Linked DNA regions of Tamandua tetradactyla. Each later gene encodes a partner of the first gene's protein in a complex. Links are inferred from orthologs where the notes say so. Each region holds a gene or a part of one and is shown in the gene's direction. Other genes may lie near its edges.

Region 1 (7,849 bases):
TTCCAAACAGAGTCGAGAGGTTATCTTGGAGGTTATTCTTATGCACTATATAGATATCCCTTTTTAGTTCATGGTGTATGGAAGAAAAAAAATGAGAATACCCATATATGGGGGTTATCCTGAGAATTAAGAGAGAGAATGTAAATGAAGCTCCTGGCCTGATACTCCAGCACATGGAAAATTCCAATAAAACAGTATATTTTAAGACGCACATTGGAAGTGTAAAGGTTCAGGTTCCCAGGCTGGGTGCTTCTCCACACTCCCAGGGCTCTGGGGAACCTGACACCCACCCAAGTCAACGATTCTCGTCCCTTCTCGATCTAGGAAAGTCCAACATGGGTGGCTCACCCAAGCGGGCTGTTGATGATATCAAGGAGATTCTGAACATCAACCAGAAGAGAAACGACTACCTGGGTGAGCCTCGGCGCCCCCCACCATCCCCGGCACACCACTGCAGGTGGCACAAGGCCTCCTCCTGGGGTTCCAGCCTGGGATGTAGGCTGTGGCGCTCTGGATGGAAGTCCCTTAGGTCGTGGTGAAGTGTGCGGAGTCTGCAGCCAGATTGCCCAGGGTTTCAACCTCGGTTCCATCCTGATTGGCCATGGCCGTGGGCATCACCCCAGGAAGAAGGGGTCTAGATCCCTTGTGAGGGCCTTCCCTGACATCATGTCTTTTAGCAGCATGGCTTTGGCAGCGGCAGCCCCTAAAGGAACAACTCCTTGGGTTCAAACCAAACACAGATCACACTGAACTTTGACAAGAAAAGAATTTCAGAGAGAGATTCTCCAGGCAGGGAGGGCAGCTGGTGTTGAGCCCCTGAGTGTCACCTGCTCCTTGCATCCTCTCCTTTTCCATTCGCTGACCCCATCCTCCCTGCCCTTCCGGGACACACTGATTCCCCTTTAAAACTTTGGCTGGAGAAGGACATCATTCACATCCGCTCCCTTAGCACCATGGGATAAATGTTCCAGAATATCTTATTGAAAAGAAATGGGAGGGCTGGCCACAGTGGCTCAGCAGGCAGAATTCTCGCCTTCCATGCTGGAGACCAGGACTCGATTCCCGGTGCCTGCCTATGTTAAAAATATAAAAAAATTAAAAAATGGGAAATTTAAGGGTACTAGTCAAAGAAAACACCCTGGGCATGGTAATTGTCCAGCTCACACTGTCACTGCTTCTGACCACCTCTGCAGGATCCCTCCTTGGCTGAAGATTTCTCTCACAGTCCACCTGCATACTTATTCCCTACACTCAACACAGGGGCAAGTGTGGGCCATGATGGGGTGCTGAGGGTCGGAGAAGACAAGACTCCCGTGAGCCGCTTCAGGGCACCCATGTTCAGAGGCCGCTGTGGATGGTTGTGTGGGTCCCGGTTTTTCAGTGGGGAGGGACGGCTTTGGGCTGCTCTTCCAGATTATATGTTTGACAGAGGGAGATCGGATCCAAAGCTCTCTCTCCATGCTATGTGCATGTGTTCTTTTTCATTCACTCATTCGTTTACAAGTACTCACAGAGTGCTTCTCCTGGGCTTTCAGCTGTGAACAAAACAGATACAAATGCCTGCCTGCATGGGGCTGCTCTTCCAGAACAGGGCCAATAAACAAGATAAATAAGGAGACCAAACAGCACATTAAGTAGTGAGGCGTGCTAAGGTGTTTAAGAGCTGGTGGAGGGATGGAAGTGCCTGGTATCTGGGGCATTATGGTTTTAGACAAGGAGGCTGGGGAAGTCCTCACCAAGAAGGTGTCATTTAAGACTAAGCCCAAAGAAGCAAGAAAGGGAGGTGCGTGGAAGAGGAGGGAAGAGTAAAGCAAGTGGAGGCACTGGCGCAAAGGGCCTGAGGGTAGGATGAGGAACTGCGAGGGGACCTACGTGGCTGGAAAAGAGTGAAGGATGCCGTGGTAGGAAACAGGGTGGGACGGGGGTGGGAAAGGGGCGTCCAGCTCCTGTAAGCTTTGGAGGACACAGTGAGTTCCAAATGACAGCCTCCAGCCTCACGGGGTAGCCCCGCAGCCACACGATTCGGGTGCTTTCCCTCCTCCCCATCAGACATCTATGCCATTGGGGTGGGCAAGGTGGATGTGGACTGGAAAGAACTGAATGAGCTGGGGTCCAAGAAGGATGGAGAGAGGCACGCCTTCATCCTGCAGGACACAGAGGCTCTGCTCCATGTCTTTGAACATATGCTGGGTGAGTGAGCTTTGCCCTGGCGGGAGCGGGGCACGGGTAACGAGGCAGCCCCGGGCTCAGCCCCTCGCTTGGCTCCCTCCCTGTCTGCTCCTCACCCTCACAGATGTCTCCAAGCTCACAGACAACATCTGCGGGGTGGGGAACATGTCAGTCAATGCCTCCGACCAGGAAAGGACACCCTGGCATGTCACCATCAAGGCAAGACCAGGAAGGAAGGGTGGGGGTTGGGTCCCCAAGGTGAACTGGGCCAGGGGCCTGAGGATCACCCATTGTCCTGCAGCCCAAGGGCCAGGAGACCTGCCGGGGGGCCCTCATCTCGGACCAGTGGGTCCTGACGGCTGCCCACTGCTTCCGCAATGTCGAGGACATCTCCTTGTGGAGAGTTATTGTGGGTAAGGCAGGGTCGCACCAAGGCCCTCCACTCCGGGACCAGAGCTTCTGCCCTGTGTCTCCAGCCTCTGAGCCCTCCACAAGCTCTGGTCCAGTCTAATCTGCTGTGCCGTTTCCAGGGGATCCAAACTCCCAGTGGGGCAAAGACTTCCGGATTGAGGAGGTGGTGACTTCCCCGGGGTTCGACGTCTTTGCCAAGAAGAAGCAGGGGATCCTGGAGTTCTACGGCGACGATATCGCCCTGCTGAAGCTGGCTCAGAAAGTGAAGATGTCCACCCATGCCAGGTGCCGGGAGGGCACCTCGCGGGGAAGGCCGGTCTTGGGGAGCCCAGGAGAAGGGAGGTTGAGGGGCCAGCCTGCCTGCATGACCTGCACCCTTCTTCCCAGGCCCATCTGCCTTCCCTGCACAGAGGGAGCCAATCTGGCTCTGCGGAGACCCCAAGGCAGCACCTGTCGGGACCATGGTGAGCACGAGGCTTAGGGCGTGTGAAGAACTGGGGTCCCAGGCGTGGGGCGGACCTCCCAGGCCAGGAGTCTGGGTTCCGAGCAAAGGCACCAGCACCAGCACCCCCTTCTCCTCGGCTGCAGAGAGAAAACTTCTGGACACACTGAGTGTTCCTGCCCATTTTGTGGCCTTGAATGGGAGCGCACTGAACATTAACCTCAAATTGGGGTCGGAGGTGAGGGGTTGGGTCCGGGATGCTGTGGGGGACGGGATTCCCAGGACGTCCCTCTCCCTCCCCTGGCTTTGGTCGTTTTCTCGCTCTGAGCCGTCAGCCCTCCTCCCGGCTCAGCTCGCCCCAGGTGTCCCCTGGCTCTACCTGCTCCATCCCTCTCTCCTGCTCCACCCATACTGCAGAGGGAAGACTGCATCAAGGTGGTCTCCCAGCACAAAACCATGTTCCCCAACCTGACGTCTGTCGGAGATGTGGTGACAGACCAGTTCCTCTGCAGCGGGATGGGGAAGGATGACAATCCCTGCAGGGGTGAGCTCCCTTCTCCCCTCTAGACCTGGATTCATGTGGGGAAAGCCACCGGTGTCCTCGCGGCCAGCACGCACACCAGGAGACCCTGTGCTGCCTGCGATGACAGTGGAGCCGGGTGAGCGACGGGGTGACGCTGTCCCCTCTCCCTCCTTTCTGCAGGAGAATCTGGGGGAGCAGTTTTCCTTGAGCGAAAATATAGGTTTTTTCAGGTGAGAAGAAACGGGGCAAGTTCGCAGGACGGGGGTGGCTGGGTCTTAGGGGGATGCGGGAGGGCTTGTGCAGGAACCAGGGAGGTTGGGGCTCGGGACTGGGGCTGGGGCAGACCCTCGCCCTCTTCACTCCCTTCTTCCAGGTGGGCTTGGTGAGCTGGGGCCTCTACAGCCCCTGTGTCAGCGCCGACAAAAACTTCCGCCAGAGGGCTCCCCAAGGCATGGTCCCTCCACCACGAGACTTCCATATCAATCTCTTCCGCCTGCAGCCCTGGCTGAGGCAGCACCTTCAGGATGTCCTGAAGTTTTTGCCCCCCTAGACATGGCCACCGGCCCTTCTCCTGTCTTGTCGGGACCTGCCATCTCTTCCCACTCCTTTTTCTGACATCCCTACTCAGCCCTCTCTACCCACCCTTGCTCCTGGCTCTGAGTAAAGTTTGGCCTCCAGGATCGATCCCAGCAGGCAGCGGGCCATGCCAGGGCTGACTGCCCCAGATCCTCATTTCCATTTTCTCCAGCCAGTGTTCAAATCCCTTCCTCTGGTTTGTCTCACCTCTCCTTTCACTTTCACGTGGAATTTCCCAGTTATGAAATTAATAAAAGTTAATGATTTCCACATCCATCTGTGCCCCGGCCTGGGGTGGGGTGATGGTGCTGGGTTCAGTTGGCCTGGGGGCGGGACAAGAATGATTCCAGGAATCCCAGGAGGGCAGGTCAGAGCCCCTGCTGGGTAAACAGCTGCTGGACTCTGCCTCATCACACACAGTCCGCAGGGGAGTGAGGTCAGGGTCTTATTTGTGGTCCCTAACAGGGCAGCCTGGGTTTGTTGGAGAAGAGCTGGCAGGGTGTTGAGGGGGAGAGTCCTGGAATCTGAGCATCAAAAGGTGGGGTTCGTGCAGTTTCTATTTCCTTGGCTGGAAGCTCAGTGGAGCCCTCCCACTTGGACTTTCCGGAAAGTGATCTGTGTGGGGTGGGTGGGGCAAGCGAGCCACAGGTGCCAGACACAGATTGCATAAAGGCTTGGGGGCTGGTGGGAGCCAAGGAGAAGGAGTGTGACCAGGCCCAGGGCTGAAGTTTCCTCTTGGACACAGAGCCAGACACACAGCACAAGTCAGGATAATAGACCATCTTGCTTCCCCTCTCCCCCTATCGCCACCTTCTCTCCTGTCTTCCATGGCCATGGGGAGGAATCTCAACCTCCCACTCTGCCTGCTTCCTTTGGTCCTGGGCTTCTTGTCCGCAGGTAAGTGAGGATCAGCTCCCCTCTCCTGCTGCCTAACATCCCTCTTCAGCCTCATGGGGCCAGGCTTAATCAGCCGTTCTCTTTAGGTGTGTGCACAACTCCACTGCCTAAGGACAAGCTCCAAAGCCCCTGCTCTCTGGAGGGGGTAGAGATCACAGGTGGCTCCTTCCGCCTTCTCCAGGAGGGCCAGGCACTGGAGTATGTGTGTCCCTCTGGCTTCTACCCATACCCTGTGCAGACTCGCATCTGCAGACCCTGGGGGTCCTGGAGTACCCTGCAAACCAAAGACCGAAAAGTTGTCAAGAAGGCAGAGTGCAAAGGTTGGGGGGCAGTGAGGGTGGGGGTGGGTCAAGGGAGGGATGGAGTAGGTGGTGGCAAAGGTTGGGACTTATATGTCCTACATTGAGAGCAGGTCGCTGAGAGGGAGTAGGAGCAGCTCTAGGGTCTGAGGTGGGGAGGAGGGAGGAGAAAGGAGCGCTTACCCTGTACCAGGGAGCCCTCACAGTTAAAAGAACACTCAGACATGGGGATGAAGGAGCAGCTGGGTGCCCCATGGGTTGAAAGGTAAAGGGGAGTAGACGCTGTTTTTGTGGGACTGGGACAGTGCTGTTTGTCAGTACAGGGACCTGAGATCAGGAGAGAGACCCTGAAGGACAGTGCTTCTCTTTTAGTGATTTCCACTTTTCTCTCTACCTAAAGAAATTCGCTGCCAAAGACCACAGGACTTTGAGAATGGGGAATATTGGCCCCGGGCCCCCTACTACAATTTGAGTGATGAGATCTCTTTCCATTGCTATGACGGTTATACTCTCCGGGGCTCTGCCAATCGCACCTGTCAAGCAACTGGCCGGTGGGATGGGCAAACAGCCATTTGTGATGATGGAGGTGAGAAGGGTTTTCTCCTGCCACATTACTCTCTCCTTGTTGACCAACCTGCCTGAGGAACTAGCACCAAAACTCTTGTTCTCTGCCTTGCCCTTTGGCCACAGGCTTTGGTTCTCACCTCCTTGTCTTGTGCCTCTGCAGCGGGGTACTGCCCCAACCCGGGCATTCCCATTGGCACAAGGAAGGTGGGCAGACAGTACCGCCTTGAAGATAGCGTCTACTACCACTGCAGCCGGGGACTCACCCTGCGTGGTTCTCAGCAGCGAAAGTGCCTGGAAGGTGGCTCCTGGAGTGGGACAGAGCCTTCTTGTCAAGGTGACCCTTGAACTATGACCCCCGACAGATTCTGCCCTCCATCCTAATGTCTCCATACCAAGGCACCATCTTCTCCTAGCTCAACCCAGCTTCCCCCTCATTTCTTCCAAACATCCCAGTAGAGCTTTTCTCACTTCTGAGAGTTTCCCACCCTGGAAAACCACAATCTGTCTCTTTGGTCACTGAGTCCTTAAACCCTCTCAGACATCTGACCTGATTTTTTACTACTCCTCAGATTCCTTTATGTACGATACCCCTCAAGAGGTGGCGGAAGCCTTCCTGTCTTCCCTGACAGAGACCATAGAAGGAGCCGATGCTGAAGATGGGCACAGCCCAGGTTTGAAGACAGAGAAGAGAGGCAGGGTTGAGAATTGGGGGAGGAGGGAGAAGGAGGACAGGACATGCTGGAGCCTGAGTCTCTCTGGTGACACCTAGGAGAACAACAGAAGCGGAAGATTATCCTGGACCCCTCAGGCTCCATGAACATCTACCTGGTGCTGGACGGATCAGACAGCATTGGAGCTAGCAACTTCACAGGGGCCAAGAGGTGTCTCACCAGCCTCATTGAGAAGGTGGACCTCCCTGCCCCCTAAACGTGGTGACCCTGAACACACCTCACTGCTTTCCAGGGCCAGTTCCCTGGTACCCACAAGACCCTAGAAAATTTCCAAGTTCTCTTCTGTCCTCCTTTACCTACTTGAAACATTTCCCTGACTTTACCACAGACTCTTCTGTGAACCTCAGGGTGACTAGCCAGCCCTTGAACCTCTTGCTCTACGATCTTCATCCCAGCAAAATTGCTGACTTCTCCCAACCACAGCATTTTCATTTCAATGCCTGTGACCCTTTGCAGGTGGCGAGTTATGGGGTGAAGCCAAGATACGGTTTAGTGACATATGCCACAGACCCCAATGTTTTGATTAGAGTGTCTGAAGCAAGGAGCAGTGATGCAGACTGGGTCACGGAGCGGATCAACCAAATCAGTTATGAAGGTCAGAGATTAGGTTAGGCAAGACAATGACAGGAGGTTCATCTGGGGATCAGAGAGGTCAGAAGGTTGAGGGGCGTTGTAGGGAGGGGCTATGGAGAACCACTTTTAGTAAAAGGGAGGACAGTAGGGTCATTGGACGATGGAGGTTAATGGGAACCTGTTGGGCTGGGAGGACCACTTTGTAGTAAAAGTGAAGTCAATGGGTTAACAGCTAAGTCACAGTGGAAAAATGTGGGATCCCAGGGATTGAAAGGCTTCTGGGTCTCAAAAGTGGCTTTGAAGACTAGGTGAGATGGTGGCCTCTTCCCTCTCCACAGACCACAAGTTGAAGACAGGGACCAATACCAAGAAGGCCCTCCAAGCAGTCTACAGCATGATGAACTGGATAGGGGATAAACCCCCTGAAGGCTGGAACCACACCCGCCATGTCATCATCCTAATGACTGATGGTCAGAAGGGATCTCTCTCCTGTCCCATATTACCCCCCCTTAACTCCAGCATGTGGGCCTTAAAGCCCACATGTAACACTGGACTCATGGTTGGGAAACTGAATGCTACTCATAGCTGACTGTTTGAGTTCTCCTGTGTCAAGGAGCTCTTTGTGATCTATCACTTCTATCCCCTGCCCAATCCACTCACT
Region 2 (7,215 bases), on another chromosome or scaffold:
AGGCTGAGTGGCCGGACCGGGCTTCTCGGCAGACGTTCACCGCCCGCCCCACCCTGTGGGTCCCCAGGCCCGGCGCAGGCCTCGGAGATTGTGGGGGGCCGGCCAGCCCGGCCCCACGCGTGGCCTTTCATGGTGTCTCTGCAGCAGCGGGGTGGCCACTTCTGCGGGGCCACCCTGATCACCCCGAGCTTTGTCATGTCGGCGGCACACTGCGTGGACGGCCAGTGAGTCACCCCATTGCACAGCAGGCCCCGGGGCTCCTCCAAGGGGCCCGTCCTGGGCCTGCAGCCCACCCCCCCAGCGACCCTGTCCGTGCACCTTCCCTGCTCCCCATAGGCATGCGGGCGGGATGGGTGGCCTCTGCTGGGGTTCCCAGCTCTGTAGAGGGACAGGGAGGGTAGGGGCCGAGTCAGGCCAACCTGTGTCACTGTCTCCCCTGGCCCCGGCTTGCTGCAGAAACTTCCGGAGGGTGCAGGTGGTACTGGGGGCACATGACCTGCAGCAGCGGGAGCCCACCCGACAGACCTTCTCAGTCCAGCGGATCTTTGAAAATGGCTTTGACCCCAGGAGACTGCAGAATGACATCGTCATCCTCCAGGTGTGAGGCTGGATGGGCTGGCGGAGGCAGCATGTGCAAAGGCCCTGAGGTCAGGGGTGGGACTAGGCAGAAAGGGGGAGACTGGGAGGCACATTGGGGCTGGGATGTAGGGTCCTGGGGCCATACCTGGGCTCTAAGCCGGCAGGACACCCCCTCTCTGCCTCAGTCTCCACCTCCTAGGCTGGTGGGGGGATTTTGGAAGATGATACTGCAGTACTCTAAGCAGTTGTTGATCAACAAACAGAGGCAGCTCTTCTTATTGATAAATAATAGCAATACCATCCACTTATGTGACCCACAGGCAGGGACAGACCCTGTCTCTGAGAAATGGAGCAAGGTCCCCCCAACTTGGGGCAGGCAGGAGACTCGAGGGAGAATATCACACCCCAGCTTGCAAAATGGGAAAGTTCTAAAACAAGGGTTTTGGCAACAATCACATTGCCCACAGTTTGCTTTATTGTGCAGCTACTGTTCACTGTGTATGGACCACGTCCCGGATGCCCCTAATTGTGCCCCCAGCTAGTGTGATTGCTCCCACTTTATAGAGGGGGAAACTGAGGCTCAGGGTGGGTGCCCTGCTCCATGAGATCCCCAAAGCCAACTTCTGGTCAGAGCCTCCGAGGGGGAAACTGAGGCCTGGGGCAGGGAGGGTCTCTACCTGCCACCCGCTGTGACCCCCGATGCTCTGCCCACCTGCCACAGCTCAACGGGACGGCCACCACCAATGCCAACGTGCGGACGGCCCAGCTGCCCACCCAGGGCCAGAGTGTGGGCGACGGGACGAGCTGCCTGGCCATGGGCTGGGGCCGCCTGGGCACGAACAACCCCCCACCCAGTGTCCTGCAAGAGCTCAACGTGACGGTGGTGACCTCCCTCTGCCCTGCCTCCAACGTGTGCACGCTCGTGCGGCGCCGGCGGGCCGGCATCTGCTTCGTACGTAGCCCCCTCCCCTTGCTCCCACCATCTTGTTCCTGGCCTGGGCTGCAGCAAGAGGGACTGCAGCTAGACACCAGAAAGGACTTCTTCCACCCCAGCGGGAGACGGGTGGGCTAGAGGCCTTGAAACTCAAACTTCTGCCCGTCTGCCTCCACAGGGGGACTCCGGTGGTCCGCTTGTCTGCAACGGGCTGGTTTTTGGCATCGACTCCTTCATCCGTGGAAGCTGTGCCTCTGGCTTCTACCCAGATGCCTTTGCTCCGGTGGCGCAGTTTTCAGACTGGATCAACTCCATCATCCGCCGCTATGATGTCCACCCTCTTTCCTAGCCCAGGGGCCTGGCAAGCAGGACCCGCTAGGAGGCGCTGTCCCATCACCCCACTCCACCTGCACATGGCTGCTTATCTAGTGACTGGCACAATAAAATTCCTTTGTTTTGTAGAACGTGTCTGGGAATTTGTTGGCTGCGTACCTGTTGGGTGAAAACAGTCAGGTGGGTGTCTTGAGCATTTCTTAAGTACGCTGCCACCAGGTGGTGGCAAAGTCAGGGCACTGACACAAGAAGCGGGTCCCTTCCCCACCGGCCACAAAAGAGGGCCAGACATCCTTTTTTCCTTCCTACACAATCCACCTTCACACAATTAAATTAGCGTCCCAGACGGTGACCAGCTCCAGTTTACTGGAGTGCTTGCAGGGTACAAGTGTTCGCTCATACAACCCTCTCCAACCTCGAGGCAGGTCCTAGCAGGACAGGAGAGGAAAGAGAGTTTCAGAGGGGTGGAAAGTCCTGGTTGGATGCCAGGGTTTGGGTTCCCCAGACCTGGGGTCGAGTCCCATCTGGGATTGAGTCTTCAGGCAAGCTGCTGCTGCCTGTTTCCTGGAGGGGAAGGAGTGAGACACAGGCCGGGAAGGGCCTGGCCAGGGGTTCACATCTCAGGTCACAGCCGTCTGTCTACCTCCCTGAAGCCCAGGAAGGACCCCTCTCAGGGCCATGGGTGGGGACCGCAACAGAGGCAGCCTCTGCCATCCACTGGCTCACAGTCAATTGGGGGAGAAGTCAAGCACCCAAACAAGCAAATAAATGAGGGAGCTGAGGTCGGCAACCACAAGCCAGCTCCTCTGCACCCCCTCCCCTCCTGTTTCCCGGCCCCAAGTCCTCTCCTGCAAGAACTTGCCAGCCAGCCCACCCCTGGCCCCAGGGCCTTTGCCCATGCTTTCATCCCTTTGTCACATCTCTGCCCAGGTGCCAGCTGCCCTGCGACTGATTGCTTTCTATATTTAATATGACTCCCCAGTGACTTTTCCATGTCAAAACCACATCTGCGACCTTCTCGACCAAAAGGGAGAAGAGTGAAATGAGACAAAATGTCAATGGCTGAGAGATTCCAAACAGAGTGAGAGGTTATCCTGGAGGTTATTCTTATGCATTAAGTAGATATCACCTTGTTGTTTAAGATGTAGTGGAGAGGCTGGAAGGAACTGCCTGAAAATGTAGAGCTGTGTTCCAGTAGCCATGTTTCTTGATGATGACTGAACAATGATATAGCTTTCACAATGTGACTGTGTGATTGTGAAAACCTTGTGTCTGATGCTCCTTTTATCTATCTTGTCAACAAACGAGTAGAAAATATAGAATAAAAATAAATAATGGGGGAACAAATGTTAAAATAAATTTAGTTTGAAATGTTAGTGATCAGTGAAAGCGAGGGGTAAGGGGTATGGTAGGTATACTCTTTGTTTTTCTTCGTTTTATTTCTTTTTCTGAATGGATGTAAATGTTCTAAGAAATTATGAATATGCAACTAAGTAATGATATTGTGAATTGCTGATTATCTATGTTAACGTTACATTTTGTTTGTTAAATTTTTCTAAATTAATAAATAAATTTTTTAAAAAAACCACATCTGGGGAAGTTCAGGGTTATTTACTGAATTGCTCCCTTCTTACTGGGCCTGGGGGTTGTTTCCAATTTTTGTTGCAACCTTGAACCATATTGACACATAATCTGGACTCCACCCCCTCCCAAAAAAACACTTTCGTTCAGCATTTCTGACTTCAAGAAGGAAGCACGGTGGGCTCTAACAATCTCATTTGCTCAATTATTTTCTGCATGTGTGAAATGGTCTCCCGTGAAGAGAAAAGAAGCAGTGGGAAAAATATTATGTGGCTGTCTCCGGTGGGGATCTCTGAGGTTTCCCCCACAAGCACCTCTGCCCCCATCAGTTTGGGGGACCTTGGTCCAACATCTCCCCATACCAAGGACCGTGGGACCCAGGCGTGGCCGATTAGAACCTGCCATCTCCTGTCCTTGGGGACCGTTTTGAGTGGGGACATGCCACCTGGGCTTGACCAACCAGAGGCAGCCTGAGATTTTGGCTGGAGTGCTGGGGAATGAGGCCTTCACTTTGGGGGGGGGGCCACAAAAGGGGAGCCCAGTGAGGAGGGAAGCCATCAAGGAGGAAAGAAGCCTGACATTGCTGGAGTGTCTGGATCAAGCTGCACCTGAAGGCAGTCATTTTCCATTTCCATTCCCTTGTTGAAGTCTTCATCCAGTTTGACTTGGTTTTTCCATCGCTTTTGTATGCAGTCTTTCCCCCCCACCCCCACCCTGCCACAACATTCTACTTATTCTGACATTCTACTTGTTCTGACATTCTACTTGTTGGGGCCTCAGGACTTGGAGATCACAGGGAAGAGGGCAAGGTGTTGGGTGACGCTCCCCAACCCCCACCCAACCTCCTTTCCAAGTTGGAGAAGGAAGAGAAAGAAGGGAGGGGCAGAGAAATGAGGAAACGGGTTGTTTACAAACTACGGCCTCCAGCTGCTATTGTGAAATTTCGGGGCTAGAAGGGTATTCTGGGGTCGGGGAGATGGGGCAGGGGCCTTGGGGGCTAGGAGGTGAGTCCAGCCCTCCTCCATGCCCCTCCCCACACACCAGGATCAGCCCTGGCCAGGCTCACAGAGGCCGGAGGGACCCCCATTCCCAGGAGATAATGCTGCCCCCCCTCACCCCGGGGAGAGAGTGCTGCACCCCACCCCCCAGGAGATAACACTGCTCCCCCCGCCCCCTGGGGGGGCAAAGGTGGGGCTGGTTCGTTCCTCTTTCCCTATCTGGGTCCCGGCCCACTGGCAGATGGGACCCATGGGAGCCGCCCGCCCCCTCCACCCTCATAAAAACCCCTCCAAGCGGTGCCCGGGTCCAGAGATCCCTGCGGCACCATGGCTGCCGGCTGGATGCATCCAGCGCTGCTGACTCTCATGGGAGTGGCTGTGTGTGGTGAGTGGGCCTGGGAGAGGGTAGGGGCTACCGGCCTGGAGGGGTGTCGCGAGGGCCCCCCCAACCCCAAGCAGGATAATCCCCCAACCTCAACGAACAGGCAGGAGCCAGGGGTGGAGCACAGGCCACCTGAAGAGAAAGCCAAGGAATTGTGGCATTTGAGCCTTCCAGGTGCCGAGTTCCTGGCAGCCAACCCTGCAATTCTACAGCCAAAGCCCGGGCCAGGCTGGCCAGCTCCTTGGGTTTGTGCAGTGGCTGTGTTGCTCGATTTGATTTGCCCAAGTGCTCCCACTACCCTGGTTTTTGTCTTCTCTGTCTTCCTGCCCAGCCCCAGGGCATTTGAGTCTGCAACCCTGAGAGGGAAAATCCCAATGATGGAATCTCAGGTCTGGGAGGGCCTGGAGCATTGCAAGGGTGGGAGTGGGGGTGCAGCCCCCCGGGGTCCTGTCCTCCCCGCGGTCCTGACGTCCGCCGACCTCCCCCACAGCGGCGCAGCCCCGCGGCCGCATCCTCAGGGGCAGTGAGTCCAAGGCCCACGCGCGGCCCTACATGGCATCGGTGCAGGTCAACGGCTCGCACGTGTGCGGTGGGTTCCTGGTGGCCGAGAAGTGGGTGCTGAGCGCGGCGCACTGCCTGGAGGATGCGTGAGTGGCCCGGGACCGTGGGAACAGGGAGGGAGCGCCGCGGGCGCCAGGGGTGGGGGTGGGGGGCGCCACTCTGACCCCAGGCTCGTCCCGCCCCCAGCGCCGGCCAGGAGGTGCAGGTGCTTCTGGGCGCTCACTCCCTGTCGCAGCCCGAGCCCTCCAAGCGGCTGTACAACGTGAGCCGCGCCGTGCCCCACCCCGACAGCCGGCGTGACACCATCGACCACGACCTGCTCCTGCTGCAGGTCAGAGTCCACGCGCCGTCCCTCCTGCCGCACCTGCTCCCACCCCTGGGTCCTCCAACTCTAGCCGCAGTCCCTCCTGCTGCAACCCCCCCAACCCCCCAGCTCGGGCGCACGCCCGCGCCCCCCCACCCCGTGTCACCGAGTGCAGCCGCAGTCCGTCGTGCTGCCGTCCCCCACGCCCGCCGTGACTGCCGCCTCCCGCCCCCCAGCTCTCTGAGAAGGCCGCGCTGGGTCCCGCCGTGCGCCTCCTGCCCTGGCAGCGCGAGGACCGCGACGTGGCGGGGGACACGCTCTGCGACGTGGCGGGCTGGGGCGTGATCAGCCACACGGGCCGGCGGCCCGACCGCCTGTACCACGTGCTCGTGCCTGTGCTCGACCGCGACACCTGCAACAAGCGCACGTTCCACGACGGCATTATCACCCCGCGCATGATGTGCGCGCGGAGCGACCGCCACGACAGCTGCAAGGTGCGGGCCGGTGGGCGGGGCGGGGCGGGGACTGGCTGGGGCGGAGCCAAGAGGTGAGGGCGGGGCCAGACCTGGGCGCTAGGGGCGAGGATAGGTCGGGGCTCACCGAACAGCAGAGACTCAGGCGGCTGGGATCCCGGAGCAGACGCTGGGACAGAGGCCCAGGTGGGCCCGGAAGGGGCGGGGCTAGAGGCGGACTTAGGGTCAGAGGGGCGGGGCCTGGTCCAGTGGGCGGGACCCGGGCGATAGGCTGGCGGAGAACCAGGTGGACCCAGGGGGCTACGGTGGGGAGGGTCGCGGGCGGGGTTTGCGCCCCTCACGGCCCCCTACCCCGCAGGGCGACTCCGGGGGCCCGCTGGTGTGCGGAGGCGTGGCCGAAGGCGTGGTCACCTCGGGCTCGCGCGTCTGCGGCAATCGCAAGAAGCCCGGGATCTACACGCGCGTGGCGAGCTACGCGGACTGGATCGACGGCGTCATGGCCCAGGCCAAGGCCGAGGCCGAGGCCAATGTCGAGGCCGACGCGGAGACCGAGGCCGAGACCGAGGCCCCCTGAGGGTCCCCTGTGCGGGGGTCGCGGGGGGCTGGGGCTGCGAGCAATAAAGTCATTCCGTCCGGCATCCGGTCAGCCTCCATGGAGCTCCACTGTATGCAGAGGCCGTGAGCCCGGTGGCACGGGTTCGGGAGGCCACCGATAAAGGCGCGGTTCGCTGGACGAAGCGCAGGGGGCGGCCTGCGGGCCAGGAAACTGAGACCCCGGTGCCGGGAGGCCCGACGCCCCAAGGCGGATGTCGTCTCCCGCGCCAGCCACGAGGTGGCACCCGCACCCTTCCCTAGAGGCCCTGCATGGGTTCGCGTGGGAGGGGGACATAGGTCTGGCTGTGCCCAGCTCTCCCTTTGATTCCCAGGTGGAACCTGAGAGCCTCTTGTGTGCAAGACCCGTTCTGGGTTGAAGCTCAGGTGCAGAAACCCTCTGAAGTATGTCGACTTGCTGCACGTTTCCCAGAAGGGAAACACTGGCAGGAGCCACGTGGTTCTCTTGACATCAAACA
Region 3 (7,695 bases), on another chromosome or scaffold:
GGCTGTGGTGTCATCTAAAGTAACGGGAGTAGATGTGTGAGAGATATGAGGAAAAAATGACTGTGAAGCCAAATGGGTGACTGAGACACAAGAGATGAGAATGTATGATTGTGTCTATGAAAACTTCTCGTGAGAGACTATGGTAAAGATTGTATATGTGAGAAACAGAAAAATGGTTAGAACTTGGAGACTATGAGAGACTTTAATTGTGTTTGTTTGTATGTGAAACTAAGAGACAAGAAGCAAATCGATTTACAGTCTGTTCCAACAGGTCCGGTGATTGTATATATGAGAAAATTTGAGAGAAAATAATGATGAGACTGACTAAGGTATGAGAGACCACATAATTGTGTCTGTGAGACAGAAGAGGAACTGTTCAAGAAAAACTGCAAGTAGTGACAACCAGAAGTCAGTAACTGTGAGAAACTGAGAGAGTAAAAATTAGTGGTTGAGACAGTGTCTCAGATTGTGTAGGTATGTGAAACATTTCATAAGAGACTAAATCAGGGGCTGTGAATTTGAAAAACCAAGAAAGTGACAGGAACTGAGTGAATGAGACACTGAGAGACCATGTCATTGAGTGTATAAGAGAAACTTCATGAAAGGCTGTACTATTGACTGTAAATCAGTAACTGTATGTAGAAGACTGAGACAATGATTGGAACTCAATGAATGGCTGAAACAGCTTAGGAGACTATTACTGTGGGTGGGGTGAAACGGACTGTGAGAGAAAATTTTTATAGTCGTGTATGAAACTGTTAGTGAGATACCATAATAGCAATTGTAAATCAATGACTGTACAGTAGAAGTCAACACATAGAAAATGGACCTGTGACTGAATGGGTAACAGTGTCAAAGACTGGGATTCTGTGGGAGGGTGTGAACCTATTGGGATAGGCTGTAGTCTTAACTGTAGATCAAATACTAAATATGCGAAGATGACTTCGAGGGAAAAAATGACTGAGAGACTGGTTGTGATGAATGTGAGACCAATGATGAGAGACTGCCACTGAGACTATAAATTGTGGATTGCATTTGTGTTATAAGAAAAAAATGTGAGAGAAAAATGAGTCAGACTTAGTGTAAGGTCAGGGACTGTGATTGTATGTGCCAATGGAACTCTAAAAGAGACTGAATTAGTGACCATGTATAAGAAAATGGGACTAAATGTGGTTGAAACAGCTTATGAGACTGTAATTGTGCGTGTGTGTACACAATAAGCCAACTATATAAAGAAAATGATGATGTGAATGAGAACGGCATGAGACACTGGTCATATATGTGAAACTTACTGAGATACTACTAGTGATTTTGAATCAGTGTCCACATACATCAGAAGCTGACTGAGAGAAAGTAATCATGAGACTGAATGGGTTTGAGAGTCTGAGAAACAGATCATGTGGGTATGTGTAAAACTCTTCGCGAGGGACTTTAGAATAAAAGGTGGTAAAATCAAGGTCTGGGTATATTGGAAGGTGATGAAGAAATAGGAGACTAGATGACTGAAACAGTGTCTATGACTGATTGTGTGTGCACGTGAAACTTCATGGAAAACTAGTAGAGGACATAATCAGGGTCTGTGGGGGGTGAGAAAAAGTGGCTTGAGTTAAGGGGTATGAGATATGCTGATGGCGATTTTGTACACTTATATGAGAAACTTCATGAGAGACTAGTAACTAAATCAGTAACTATTTGTGTAACTGAGAAAACAAATGAGACAATGTGACTCCGTTTGCGTGTATGTGAAAAACTGGTGAGAAAATGTTGGTGAGCTTGAATAAAACAAGATATGAGATATTATGATTGTGTGTGTGAAACTCTTAGTGGGAGACTGTACTAAGACTGAATCTGTGACAAAGAAAATGACTCCCTGTGTAACAGGGAATATCTGAGAGCCTGTCTGATTGAATATGCATGTGAACCAGTTTGTAAGAGACTACAGTTGAGGCTATAAATCTAGAACTGTGTCCATATATGTAAAAAAAAAAAAAGTGAATGAATTACTGAGACTGTGTGAGACATTATATGAGAGAACCACTTATTGCATCTGCCAGATCTAGCAAAAACCCTCTTGTTTGTCCTCTTCCTTCCCAGCCCCCTCCTCTTCTGGCTTCTCCCAGTTCTCCAAAACTTGAAATGTGGGGCTTCCCCAGGGCTTTGCCTCAGGTTCCCTTCTCTCTTCTCAAAAGCCCTCTCTAGGAGGTACAAGGGTAGTTCAGTGGTAGAATTCTCACCTGCCATGCGGGAGACCCAGGTTCAATTCCCAGCCCATGCATTCCCCCCCACTAAAAAATAAGCAAGTAAACAAACAAAAATTCAACAAATGGTGCTACAATAATGGGATACTCACATGGAAAAAGAATGAAATGTGACCCTGCCATACAGCATACCAAAAAAATAGCCCTCTTTAGGTAAATTCATCCAATATACACCCCCCCCCCCAAATGGTGCCCACATTTTCGTCTCTACACCAAACTGTTCCTCTTAGCAGTTATCAGGAGTTCTAAAGATCTATTTGCTTATTTCCTTTATTTGTTCATGCAGCAGACAGTGATTGAACACCTCCTGCATGCCAGTGCTGATCTAGGCCCTACAGACACAGCAGTTAACATTCGAGACAAAAATTCCTGCCCTCATGGAGCTGATATTTTAGTAACAGAGACAGACAAGAAACAGATGAATATAAAATAATAGATAGTGAGGCAGTCATTAAATGAGACAAGACTCTCACTGTTTTTTTAAATAAGGAATCTGCAGATTGATTTTTTGCCTGAACTCGTGTGGGAGAAGGTGAAAGTGCCAGCAAACCTCTTCAACAGAGAATCCTGTATTTATGCCATTTAGGAACAAAGGAAATACTGATTATAACTTTATTACCAGGGCAGCAGGTGATTAAATAAAGCAGCCAGCCAGAATTACAGGTTTCTCTGGTAGTTTATTTTCACAGGGTAACACAGCACTGATGTCTGAATTCTTCAAATCTAACAAGACCCCTTTGTCCAATTCACAGTTTCAAAGATGGGCTTATATTATTAGAGAACAAAGTATACCTGTAACAGATGCAATTATCAACACACACCTTATTGCCCATTAAAAAACACAGATATTCTTGTGGAAGTTGTGTTTTAACACCTGACCAAATCAAATTCCTTTATCTCGTTTTAATTTACAGAATGGTGTTTCTTTCTCCATGAATGTAGGGGAAATGAGAGCTTGCCTTCATGTCTTTCTTAGACAACTTTTTGTTAAAGATTCTCATTCTAAAGCAGGCTCTGGAGTTTCACTTATTAGAGTTTATTAAAAAAATAAATAACAGGTCTGTGGAACTCAGTTTTACTTGCATGGAAAATGGATTGGAGGAATTAATTATTAACAGTAAAATAGGGAGCATGTAGAGTTGTTTTCTATAGATGAAACCACAAAGAAGAGAGGGGTCAGAGGCTAGAACAGTAGTTCACAAAATATGGGCCCTGAATCAGCAGCACCAGCAACACCTGGAAATGTGTTAGAAATGCACATTCTTAAGCCCCAGTCCAGACTGACTGAATTAGAAACTCTGGAATGGGGCTCAGCTGTGTTTCAATGAGCCTTCTAGATGATTGTGAGGCACACTAATGTTTGATAACCACTGGGTTTGAAAGTGACAAGGGTGCCACACTAGAGGGTAGATGGGAAGCCCTCAGAGAGGTGACATTTATTATCTGTCTCCTCCTTTAGAATGTAAGCTTGAGGGCCAGGGTTTTTTTTGTTTGTTTGTTTGTTTTTGTCTGTTTTGTTCTCTGCACTGCCCAATGCCTAGAACAGCATCTGGCACCTAACAGGTACTCAACAAATGACTGTTGAGTGAATTTGTCTAACAATCAGAACACGTACTATATGCCAGGCACTGTTCTAAACACTTAAAAATCTTAACTCCCAATCCTTGCCACAAACTCTACAATATACATCCTCATTTTACAGAGGAGGAAACTGAGGCTCAAGGAAGGCAGAGTTGGAACATGGCAGAGCCAGTTCTTTCCTAACTACTCACTCCACAGACCATGCAAGTGTCCCCAACTGGGCCCCCAAGGCAGCAGACAACCCTATTGGCTGCTTCTGCATCCCTCTTCCCACACCCCTATCACTTCCCCTTCTCACTTCCCTTGTGCTGACCTCTCCACTATGCTGACTGCAGGGAACCTCATTTTCCTGAAAGACCATGGCTGAGGTTAAGTCAGGATAGAGGATGAAGCAATTACCCCAATGTCCCCTCCACCCTGTAAGCACTTCACACTCATTTCATCCTTGTTCAACAACTTCGTGGTTATGTTATTATGGTATAGATTATGTGTCTTACGGATAGGGAAACTGAGACGCAAAGTGGTTTAAGTGACTTGCTCAAGGCTACACAGCTAGGAAGTTTGTCTTGTTCCATACTGTGCTCCATTTCCCCTAAGTGAGAATTTGCCTAAAGAGCACTGATGGGAGCACTCAAAGGTTGCTAGGCAGACTGCTAGGTACTGGGGATGCGACGACAAACAAAACAGGACTAAGTGAGAGAGGAAACAGGGCGAGGACATAGATGGGACAAAGGCAAGGTCAGGGCAGCAGATACCTGCACAGCACCCTCCTCCGTGCCCCACCCCACCCCCATCTGCCCCAGTGCCCTCCCAGTTCCTCCTGCAGCCTGGTTCCTCTTTCCCTGCTGACTCCAGGAGGCAGGGCAGAGCAGATAAAGCCAGGCTTCCTCTCTGGTGGTGGCACAGTGCTCAGCATGACCGTTCAAACACAGACCTCTCGGTTGCTGCTGCTGCTGCCATTACCACTGTTGCTGTTCACCCTGCCCACCACAGGTAAGTGGGGAAAGGCCTCGCTGGCCCCCAGGGGTGCCTAGGCTCTTCACACCCCTGACTGTACCTTCCCACCTGGCCTCATCACAGGCTCAGACCCGGTTTTCTGCTTCACCCAGTATGAGGAATCCTCGGCCAAGTGCAAGGGCCTCCTGGGGGGAGGTGTCAGTACCAAAGACTGCTGCCTCAATGCTGCCTACGCCTTCCAGGAGCCAGGAGGTGGGCCCTGTCAAGCTTGCAGGTAAGGGGGAACCTGGAACAGAGCATTGGTGGGGGAGGTTTGGGGGTGGTGGCAAGGGGTAGGTAGAAAGAGCTGTCTGCAGGATGACCCAGGGCTGAGCTCTTTCCTTCTCTGGGATTTTCAAGGGTCATTCTGAGGCCCTGACTATGACCACAGCTCAGGATTTCTCAATTTTGGCACTAGCGACATTTGGGGCCAGAAAATTCTTTGCCCCGTGCATTGTAGGATGTTTATTAGCATCTCTGGCCTCTACCCAATAGACGCCAGTAGCAGCACACACACACTCTCCCAAAATTGTGATGACCAAAAATGTCTTCAGACATTGCTGAATGTCTCCTGTGGGACAAAACCACCCCAGGTTGAGAACTGCCACCGTAGCTCACACATACTGAGCCCTTCCTACATACTAGAAGCAGGGTGGGGTGAGGCAGGTGGGGCCAAAGGTATCCCTAGTCCCCTAATTGTGATAACAGCTCTTATTTATTGCATGCTTATTGTATATGGATACATTGTGGAGGTGAAAGAGTCTGGGGAGTTCAGAGGGCAGCTCCTGGCTCTTAAGTAGGATGACATGTGATATTCATTAAGCACTTTTGGCATACCAGATGCATTGTCGATGTGGGAGGGCAACCTGAGGGTAGCTCTAGTCTTCCAATCAAGATGCCAGCTTACATTTATTGAGCCCTTACTGTATACCAGATGTTTTTTCTAAATGCTTACTGTATATACCAGACATATTGTGAGGATTTTTGAGGGCAGTTCTGGGCCCCTAGACATGTCAGCACTTCACTATTAATTATTACTAACAACCTGCTCAGTGCTGTGCAGAAGGCTGGGAGTAGGTCTTGGGGTATTTCTGAGGTGGGGGGGGCGCCTGAGCCCCTTATCAGGATGATGGCTCTTATTATTAAGCACTTACTATTTGCCTATTCCCATGCAGGGTGGTGGCCTGACGGGTTTCTGACAGCAGTTCTGGGCCCATATTCCCTACATTTGCTTACTGTGTGCCTGGCACTGTACTTGGGGGACTTCCAAGGGTGGCTCCAGGTCCCTAGACATGAAGATAAATAACATTTATTAAGCACTTACTGTGTGCGCACCTCTTCTCAGTCTTCCAACATTCCTAAGAGGTAGGTGCTCCTATCAATCTATTCCACACACATATATACAGCATCCCCCATGTGCCACACGCCATTCCTGCCACTTCAATGGTACCAGACACAGCCAGAATGGAACACCTGTGCTCCTCTTTGCAGTAGCCCACGATGGTCACAGTGGTCTGTGTGGGCCCCCTGCTCAGTGACCTGCTCCGAGGGCTCCCAGCTGCGGCACCGGCGCTGCGTGGGCCAGGGAGGGCAGTGCTCTGAGAAGGAAGAGCCTGGAACCCTCGAGTGGCAGCTGCAGGCATGTGAGGACCAGGCATGCTGTCCTGGTGAGGAGGAGCAGTGAGGCGGGCAAGCACTCTCCATTAGTGAGGCCCTGACGGTGGGATCATGCCTGATGTTCGCAAGGAGCAGTCGGGGAGGCCAGTGTGGCTGGAGGAGAGCCAGTGAAGGGGAGAGTGATGGGAGGGGAAGTCAGAGAAGTGACAGGGCCTGATTGTATAGGACTTCATGGGCCATAGTGAGGAGAGGATTTTAGCTTTCACTCAGTGATTGGGGTTGTGGGCAGGAGAGACATGATCTGACTTGAGCTATAAAGGAGGGGTCAGCATGAAGCTTACCACGATAACCCAGCCTGACCATGACAGAGAACTAGGTGTGGTACCAGAGAATGCAGGGACAGATTGGCAGACAGACCAGATGTGGGGTACATGAGGAGGCAGGAAGCCCTGAATGATGCCCCCACCTCCATCCTATCCTCCTTTCTTCTCCCCTACAGAGATGGGAGGCTGGTCCAACTGGGGTCCCTGGAGCTCCTGCTCTGTCACCTGCGCCAAAGGGACCCGGGCCCGCCAGCGAGCCTGTGACAACCCTGCTCCCAAGTGTGGGGGCAGCTGCCCAGGAGAAGCACGCAACTTAGAGGCCTGCGACACCCAGAAAGTCTGCCCCAGTGAGTGAGGGCAGCCGCAGGGCACTAATGGGGGCACCTAGGGTGGATGTGTGGGGCTACAGCAGGGAATGCCAGGGTAGAAGGACCTCAGCATGCATGGCCACACCTGGCATTTCCCCACCCCCATCCCACTACAGCACATGGGGCCTGGGCTGCCTGGGGCCCATGGGGCCCCTGCTCAGGCTCCTGCCATGGTGGACCTCACGCACCTGTGGAGAAAAGAAGCCGCACCTGTACTGCACCTGAGCCCTCTACAGTGCCTCCCGGGAAGCCCTGCCCAGGGCTAGCTTACGAGCAGCAGGGCTGCACCAACCTGCCACCCTGTCCAGGTATGTAGACATGAGGACTTTGACACTCTGCCAACAGAGCTCTTGATTCCATGCACAGATTTTCTGCCAGTTGCAGGAGCTAAAAGTCCCAAATAATGTGACTCCATAGCTCTTCATTTGGGGGCAGTCTACCTACAGGATGGTGGACTCTCTCCTTACTCTCTTATTCCCCAACAGTGGCTGGGGGCTGGGGGCCATGGAGCCATATCAGCACCTGCTCTGTGACCTGCGGCCTGGGCCTGAT

The links.
Region 2: the proteins of CFB (region 1) and CFD are in contact, whole or in part, in a crystal structure (PDB 2XWB), measured with the Homo sapiens proteins. The link is inferred for Tamandua tetradactyla from reciprocal best matches to the Homo sapiens genes CFB and CFD. Residues at the interface, in NP_001701.2 of Homo sapiens: Glu298, Ala301, Ser302, Ala332, Asp333, Ile469, Asp470, Glu471, Ser472, Glu518, Tyr519, Lys585, Asp758, Glu759, Asp760; in NP_001919.2 of Homo sapiens: Asn157, His158, Ala159, Gly160, Arg161, Arg162, Arg182, Thr183, Asp186, Arg200, Val228, Cys229, Gly230, Asn231, Arg232, Lys233.
Region 3: the proteins of CFB (region 1) and CFP are in contact, whole or in part, in a crystal structure (PDB 7NOZ), measured with the Homo sapiens proteins. The link is inferred for Tamandua tetradactyla from reciprocal best matches to the Homo sapiens genes CFB and CFP. Residues at the interface, in NP_001701.2 of Homo sapiens: Glu54, Gln56, Ser78, Thr316, Tyr317, Leu349, Ser351, Met394; in NP_001138724.1 of Homo sapiens: Arg329, Arg330, Asn331, Lys333, Pro341, Met420, Val421.

The regions. Positions count from the first base shown.
Region 1 is NC_135331.1:87,502,307-87,510,155, forward strand, and holds the start of CFB (complement factor B), read left to right. Parts: upstream 1-4,760; 5' UTR 4,761-4,948; coding exon 4,949-5,018; intron 5,019-5,104; coding exon 5,105-5,338; intron 5,339-5,717; coding exon 5,718-5,903; intron 5,904-6,044; coding exon 6,045-6,218; intron 6,219-6,453; coding exon 6,454-6,555; intron 6,556-6,653; coding exon 6,654-6,790; intron 6,791-7,071; coding exon 7,072-7,210; intron 7,211-7,526; coding exon 7,527-7,658; intron 7,659-7,849. Other genes in the region: complement C2, read left to right, coding at 325-414, 2,050-2,190, 2,294-2,388, 2,471-2,582, 2,700-2,865, 2,968-3,044, 3,169-3,260, 3,440-3,566 and 2 more.
Region 2 is NC_135337.1:82,121,238-82,128,452, reverse strand, and holds CFD (complement factor D), read left to right. Parts: upstream 1-4,194; 5' UTR 4,195-4,752; coding exon 4,753-4,810; intron 4,811-5,297; coding exon 5,298-5,454; intron 5,455-5,554; coding exon 5,555-5,699; intron 5,700-5,908; coding exon 5,909-6,166; intron 6,167-6,503; coding exon 6,504-6,719; 3' UTR 6,720-6,783; downstream 6,784-7,215.
Region 3 is NC_135353.1:122,498,283-122,505,977, forward strand, and holds the start of CFP (properdin), read left to right. Parts: upstream 1-4,684; 5' UTR 4,685-4,753; coding exon 4,754-4,832; intron 4,833-4,919; coding exon 4,920-5,070; intron 5,071-6,326; coding exon 6,327-6,502; intron 6,503-6,951; coding exon 6,952-7,122; intron 7,123-7,259; coding exon 7,260-7,451; intron 7,452-7,628; coding exon 7,629-7,695. UniProt on the Homo sapiens protein: A positive regulator of the alternate pathway (AP) of complement. It binds to and stabilizes the C3- and C5-convertase enzyme complexes. Inhibits CFI-CFH mediated degradation of Complement C3 beta chain (C3b).